Oryctolagus cuniculus: one gene and its partner. The protein of the gene in region 1 interacts with the protein of each later gene in a pairwise test. Links are inferred from orthologs where the notes say so. Each region holds a gene or a part of one and is shown on either strand. Other genes may lie near its edges.

The links.
Region 2: the proteins of VPS33B (region 1) and VIPAS39 interact in binary tests that used the Homo sapiens proteins (3 or more experiments, as listed by UniProt). The link is inferred for Oryctolagus cuniculus from reciprocal best matches to the Homo sapiens genes VPS33B and VIPAS39.

Annotation. Positions count from the first base shown.
Region 1 is NC_091443.1:100,277,225-100,281,032, reverse strand, and holds part of VPS33B (vacuolar protein sorting-associated protein 33B), read right to left. Parts: intron 3,524-3,808; coding exon 3,429-3,523; intron 3,162-3,428; coding exon 3,057-3,161; intron 2,597-3,056; coding exon 2,500-2,596; intron 2,286-2,499; coding exon 2,208-2,285; intron 2,053-2,207; coding exon 1,979-2,052; intron 1,800-1,978; coding exon 1,713-1,799; intron 1,582-1,712; coding exon 1,491-1,581; intron 1,298-1,490; coding exon 1,223-1,297; intron 1,008-1,222; coding exon 943-1,007; intron 841-942; coding exon 786-840; intron 35-785; coding exon 1-34. UniProt on the Homo sapiens protein: May play a role in vesicle-mediated protein trafficking to lysosomal compartments and in membrane docking/fusion reactions of late endosomes/lysosomes.
Region 2 is NC_091451.1:23,202,647-23,206,454, forward strand, and holds part of VIPAS39 (spermatogenesis-defective protein 39 homolog), read right to left. Parts: intron 3,380-3,808; coding exon 3,233-3,379; intron 1,224-3,232; coding exon 1,185-1,223; intron 825-1,184; coding exon 760-824; intron 63-759; coding exon 6-62; intron 1-5.

The DNA of each region.
Region 1 (3,808 bases):
GTTTTCAGAGACCGGTAATCCTTGGGGATCAAACCTAAGGGCGAGGACAGAGAGACAGGTGTATAAAGAGGAGGCCACCTGGGCGGGGGCCCTGAAATGCGCAGCGCAGAGAATCCCGCACCTGACCCCTCGGTCAGCAGGCGGCCGAGGAAGGCACGCTGGAGCTCCTGCAAACCATGCGGAAGAAGGGACCTCTCACGCGTTTCCTGCTGGCTAAAGAGCAGTTCTACTGGAAACTGCTTTGCAGCTGCGGCCACACAGGAAGTGTTAGATGAGTTCCCACGCGTGCGTTTTCCTCCGCAGAGGTGGGAACTGGGCTTCCGACTACAACAAAGGAAACTTAAGCGAACGACGCACTCCCTGGGAGGAACGCAGGCTCTAAGGAGAGTCACCCGCTGGAAGCTGGAGCAGTAAACCAGCCGCCACGGCAGGCTGCCAAGTCTGTCGTTAGGAAGCGAGCTGCCGTGGCTCTAGGAAGCCCTTGATCATGAAAGCTTGTTGAAGGCGGGCCGTGGACGGGGTGAGGGGGACATGGCACTCAGCTGACACCTCGCATCCTGGGGTGGCCTCTACATGCTCCTGCTTAGGGTGGGGCAAGAAATCACCCTATGGCCCCGTGAGGGTTCACCCAAAACAAAAGCTGCTTAACTTTACAGGAAGAAGAGTCCCGAAATGACGGGGCAACATTCTGTTTGCTGAGATACTTGTCTTTGGAAATTACGTCCTCCGTCCCCAAGGCACAGGGTCTCAACCTGGCACCGTCAGCTCCGGTCTTTGGGGCTCACCGTTCTCGGTGATGGACAAGAGGCACATGAGGCGCAGGCTTTCTATAGGTGACACCTGCGGAGGAAGAACAGTCCAGAACTGAGGTTTCAAAACACACACCCCTCTGTCCCTTCTGCTGCAGGCCGCCGCTCCCCGCCCCCCGCCCCGGCCGCTCACCTGCCGGTCTATGTGTTCTTCGATGTAGCTGGTGCCCTCCCGGATGTTGAACCCCTCCAGCAGTGCTGGGAATCGTCAGAGGAGAGCCTGATGTCATCGTGCTAACACGCACCTCTCTCCCCACCTTTCCCCAACCCTGGGGTGGGCCCAGGGGCCCCACGACTTCTGGCATCAGCCAGCACTGCACAGAGCCAGTGTTGGCAGGAAAGGGCCAGACAGGGTCCTGTTGGGGTGGGGAGCCGAGGGGCTGGGGCCTGAGCCAGCAGGCTGCTGCAGGTACCGTGCTCCGTCTTGATCAGCTCCTGGAAGTCCTGCTTGGTTTTCTTCTTCATGATCGACTCACAGGCCCCAATGTCTGCGGGTAAGACCGAAAGGGAGCTGACTGTCCCTGGTTCTAGACAGAAGCCCACAAGAATAAGACCTCCCGCATCAGACCCGATGCCACCGCCACTCGCCAGATGAGCGAGAAGGGTCCCCCACAGCCGAAGGGGCGGGAAGAAGCTGCAGGGTCGCTTCCCCAGAGGCCCCCAGCCCCAGCGGGAACCTACGGAGACTCAGCAGGCGGTGCTCCTGCTTCAGCCCCTTGAGCTCGCGGGACACGAAATTCTTCATCTGCTTAATGTCCATCCCGCGCCGGCGCTGTGGGAGACGCCCCTAGGGTCAACTCCTGGGACCCCAGGCATGAGAAACCACCCGCCCTCTGCTGCCGCCCACTCTGAGACACGCTGGCCCAGGGTCAGAAGGGGAGCCACTGAGGCTTGGAGCCTCACATCATACTGGGCCTGCAGGTTCCGGGCCTTCTGGCTCAGGAAGCCAAAGACATTGGAGAAGTGCTCGTTACGGATCTCACTGAACACCTGTGCGGGGAACAAGACAGGTGCGCTTACGAGGTCAGAACCATAACCTGCTCCTTCCCACCTCATCAGCATGGCGACGATGGCACAGGCCAGACGTGCAGGATCAACAGGTCCACGTCCAGGGCCTACTCTGTGCCCAGGGGACGCTCGCCTTCCCAGAGCCGGGGCCCAGTCCGCACCTTGTCCTCAGCATTGAGCAACACCTTCAGGCTCTTGTCCGAGGATGTGACTTCAGGGCCAAAGTCGACACTCCCTTTGAGGACGGAGGGAAGGGCATCGGGGTCACCAACAAGGCCTTCTCCTACCCTGGCAGAATGCCAGCAAAGATCTCCCCAAGGACTAGGAAGCAGCCGTGCCCTCAGTCCCCCGACAAGCCCTACCCAGCGTGCACCTTGCCACGGCACTCACCACATTTGATGCGGAAGGTGTCGTCCACCAGGCCCTCGTAAACCACTTGGGAGCAAAGCGCCGTGACAAAGTCCACGTCTGAAACCAACATCCTGACCGTGAAGGCACAGGCTGGCTGGCCTTCCACCCGGCTTGCTCTAGATCAGCTCAGCTACTTTCCAAAGGACCCGAGCCACATTCCTCATCAACACTGGGATTCACAGCCCTGACTTCAGGATCCTAACTTTGCACCACGAGGCCCATGTTCCCGAGCCTTCCAGGGAAAGATGAGAGGAGTGCTGGCCCAATTTACCTCTGTCCAGCAGAAATATATGCCCAATTTCTGGCCTTCGGCCCTTGGTTTCACCATCTTCTTCCTCTTCCAGTTGCCTCCATAATTCATAGGACATCTGCCAGGGCCCAAGACATTCTCAATCTTGTGTGCTGGTCCCGGCTGCAGCCCCACACCTACAGAAGCCAACCGCTCCCATATCGATACTTCTCACCCCTGGGAGGGGAGGCAACTGTGAGCAATACGAACCTGTTCTACCCACCCCAAACCAGTGAGGGAGGAAGAAGCCAACATCAGGTACCGACATACTTCCAGCCCACTGGGCCCCACGTGTGTCCCCATCCCTTGACACCAGGATTCAAAGGCCCTGTCCCCACGAAAAGGAGACTTGGGAATGTTGCACAGGAGGCCCTGGCCCTTTCTGCTGGCTACAGAGCGCTCCTCCCTGAGCGACTCTTCTGGAACAACTGAAGGGAAGTGAAGAATGAGCACCCTATCCCAGCTGCCCCTGGGTGATCACAGGCCGATTCAGAGCAGGGGGACAGGCTACTGGGCAACAGTGCGGCTGGCGCTCTTACCTTGGCACACCGGCCAATGCCATAGCAGTTGGGAAAGGGCCCATAGAGGGTGCTGAGAAGATGCAAAGCCTGAGCCACGGTGTTGATCCAGCGCTGGTCTCCTTCCTGCAGGGATGGGGATCAACCTGAGGTGCCTAAGCTGGAGAGGCGGCAGCCCCAGACACCTGGAAGGGAACTGCAGAATGTGGGGAAACCCGGCCCGGCCCACTGTGGCCCCGAAGGGGCTCATGGAGATGAACCTGTAGTCTTCAGTCCCCAAACCACTATCATTTGTGACCGTGTGTTGCACAGAGGTTAATTAGTATTTCTAGCCCACTGGACCCCCCGTTTGTCCCTAACCCTTGATACCAAGATACACAGACCCTCATTTACCAGGAAGTAGTCCCTGAAAAATTCTGGCAGCTCCATGCTCAGCAGATCCACATCAAGAGGCAGCAAAGAGAAGGCCCATTCATCACAGCTCACATCTGTGGGGACAAAGCATCAGCCGCCCCGCGGGAGGCTGTGAGCTCCCCATCAAGAGGCAAGGAGTGCCAGGATCAGGCAACAGACACGCGAGCGCCTGCCACCGCCGGCGCCGCATCTGCCACGGGAGACTCAAGGAAGGGCAGAACACAGTCCCTGCGCACAGTCTGGTGATGAAAGCAGGCACGCACACAGCAGCCTGTGACGCAATGTAGCGCGTGCTGTGCGTGGTGCTGCAGTGCTGGCCAACGGCTGACAATCTAACAGGCCACCTAAGGTAGGACCAC
Region 2 (3,808 bases), on another chromosome or scaffold:
CTTACCTTTCCTTTCCGGAGGCGTCGCACTGTATCACTAGGGCTCCAGTCATTGCTGTAATCCTGAAATACGAGCAACACATGAATCTCAGCAAGTTAACAGTGCACCAGCTCCTCCCCTCAGAGGCGTGGTCTTGGGCCCCATGGGAGATGCACTTAGTGAGAGGGGAAGAGAAATGAAGAACTGGGATGCTCCTGTTTTGAGTTACCGAAGGGACTATACCAGGGGCAACACAGGCAGGAGACAGATCAAAGAGGGATGAATCAATCGACAAAACCAGTGACCCTATACCTACTGGTTTAAGATTCTAACCTCTAGACATACTGAGAGTCACATTGTGACACCCTAATAACTAAAGCCTTTGGCCAACAGAAGACAGAAGTGTGAGACATGTTCCTTTTCTGATTTTAGAATATAGTTCCTTATGAGTTAATTTGTTTTTTAAATGTTTCATGGGAATTTGAGCTCCACCAATCTTTCAGATTGTAGTGACGATCACTGAGTTGCAAATTACAGGCTTCAAAAGGTAGCATCATGGATAAGAAGAGTATACTAGGATTGAATTACAAAACAGTTTCTGAGTTCAAGTTCTACTCTCCCAAGCGAAAGACCACAGGCAACCCTTCACATTTGGAAACCTGGTTTTCTTACCCATAAAAGAGGATAGCTGCTCAAAGAGTTAGGAAGATCAAGCAAGGCAACATATGTCAAGACACGTTTGTCTTGTAAAGCGTCATACTAGCCCAAGATACAACTCACCCGGTACTCTCCTTTGGGTCTTCCCAGCTCTGGAGCATAGCTTTTTGCAGGTGTGTCCGACAGAGCTGGAAAACAACACACAGCTGCTTCCGAGGGCCACCGTGAGTCCTGTTCCCTGTCGTTCCTTTTCCCTGGAGATCCCCTCTAACTTACTTCATTTTTTTAACTTGCGGTCTCCTAAGATATCTTTAGGGTCAAATACAGATTTCAGTTCTTCCCCAAAGATGGCATCCCTAGAAGTAATTCCTTGCCCCTGTAGCCAGAATGATCTCTAACTCTTCACTTAGCACAAGAAGTTTTCTTTACTAATGATGGTGGATTCAGAAGATGGTTCATCTAGTCATCTATCCTCACGCCTCTCTAGGCTGTACCCCAGACCTATAACATTAACCACAGCAACTGAGAGAAGAGTTTTCAATGCTTACCATCAGAAAGGGACTGGAAACTTCCAGGTCTAGTTCTACCTAAAGGTAAAGAACATAAGGCAGAGGTGAACAGTCGCCAGAGCCATCAGCACTTGGTTAAGGACACAGTGTTTACAGAATTTTACTATGCAATAATAGAACTTAAGGCTTAAATAAGCTTTTATTCAATTTCAGAAATATGAAATGCCATTAAAAATACTTTTAAAGATTTATGTATTTAGGAGACGGTGCGGTGGCGCACTACGTTAACCCTCCACCTGTGGCTCCCGCATCCCATATGGGCGCCGGGTTCTAGTCCTGGTTGCTCCTCTTCCAGTCCAGCTCTCTGCTGTGGCCCGGGAAGGCAGTGGAGGATGGCCCAGGTGCTTGGGCCCCTGCACCCGCATGGGAGACCAGGAAGAAGCACCTGGCTCCTGGCTTCGGATTGGCATAGCACCGGCCGTAGCAGCCATTTGGGGGAGTGAACCAACAGAAGGAAGACCTTTCTCTGTCTCTCTGACTATCTGTAACTCTACCTGTCAAATAAATAAATAAAACTCTTTTAAAAAAAGATTTATGCATTTATTTAAAAGGTAAAATGACACAGAGATCTTTTATCCAATGATTCACTCCCCAAATGCCCACAACAGCCAGGGCTGGGCCAGGCCAAAGCCAGGAACTCCACCCAGTCTTGCATACAGGTAGCAGGGACCCAGGTACCCAGGTCATCATCTGCTGCCTCCCAGGACACATGCCAGTAAGAAGCTGGATTGCAAGTAGAGGCAGCACCTGATCATAGGTACTCCAACGTGGAATGTGGGCATCCCAAACAGCAGCTTAATCTACTGCGCCACAACAACCACTCTACAGAGAAAAAAAATTTTTTTTAATTTATTTGACAGGTAGATCTATAGACAGTGAGCGAGACAGAGAGAAAGGTCTTCCTTCCGTTGGTTCACCCCCCAAATGGCCACCACGGCCAGTACTGCGCCGATCTGAAGCCAGGAGCCAGGTGCTTCTCCTGGTCTCCCATGCAGGTGCAGGGCCCAAGCACTTGGGCCATCCTCCACTGCCTTCCTGGGCCACAGCAGAGAGCCGGACTGGGAGAGGAGCAGCTGGGACTAGAACCAGTGCCCATATGGGATGCCAGCACCACAGGCGGAGAATTAACTGAGTGAGCTATGGTGCCGGCCCCAAGAGAAAAATTTTTAATTGTCCTGGCCATTGAGGCCATTTGGGGAGTGAACCAGGGAACAGAAGATATCTGTCCTTCCCTCACCACCCACCCCTCACTCTTTCAAATAAAGATTTGAAACAAAGCAAAAAAAAAAAAGGGTCACTGTTTTCAATTCTTTCTGGTATACACCTAGAAGCGAAACTGTTGGAGCATATGGTAAGTCCAAGTTTAATTTCTGTGAACACATGCTATCCTATCTTCCAGAGTGGCTAAACCATTTCGTAATCTCACCAGCAATGCATAAGGGTTCCCAACAACAATGTACAGGAGTAAGGAGGAACTCTGATCCAGGCAATTTCTCTAATACCTGACAAAAGCTTAATGTCAGTTATATTCATCATGTTCTAGAAATCCTGTCCAATTTTCCTGAATTTCTCTCAGTACTTCCATTCCTAATACCTGGCTGCCAGCTCTAACGATAATTCTTTATCCTCCAGTGGCCTTTTTCTTCCAGAGTAAATGAGCATTTTTCTTTAAAAAGGAAAAAGTGGGGGAGGGGTGGTGCTGTGGCACAGCAGGTTAAAGCTGTTAAAGGTTTGAGTCGTGACTGCTCCACTTCCAATCCCGCTCTGTGCTCATGCGCCTGGGAAAGCAGAAGATGGCCCAAATCCCTGGGCCCCTGCGACCCACATGAGAGACCTGGAAGAGACTGCCAACTCTGGCCAGGTGGAGCAGTCATTGCAGCCATTTGGGGAGTGAAACAGTAGATGGGAAATCTTTCTCTGTCTCTCCTTCTCTCTCTGTCTCTGTAACTCTTTCAAATAAATAAATCTTAAAAAAAAAAAAAAAGGAAAAGAGGACTTTCTTTTTCTTTTAACCAATTACTCTTTACCTCTAAAAAAGCTACTCAAGGAGTAGGTAGAAGCAGGTTTGGGCAGCTGTGCACAGGAGGAGAAGCTGTTTCGGCTCTTTAGCTGTTCACGCCCCTCATGGGTAGACCCACTATTACCAGCAGTCTCTCTGATGGACCATGAGATACCTGCGAGATAGTAAGAACTAAATCAGTAATCCTCATCTCAAACAAATCTGTGACAGCCAACACTCAATGCATTCTGAAAGCTTTTCTCCAGAGGCCCCAATGCTTTGGCCAACATGGGCAGAGAGAAAAGAATCAAATATGCTAATCAACAGAAAAAGAGGCAGAGACGTGAGTAAATGGATCACAGGAAAGGAAATTCAAATGGCTTTAGACATGAACAGATGCTCAATCTTACTCTCAGCAACAGTATCACAAATTCAAAGTACAACGAGATACCATTAGTCTCCTGTAATACGGACAAAGATCCAAAAGCTTCATAATACACTCATCATCAAGCCTGTGAGAACTCAGAAACTTCCTACATTGCTGGTGGGAGTACTACCTCTGTGGAAGGCAACTGGCTAATATCTATCTAGTTCAGATATAAAT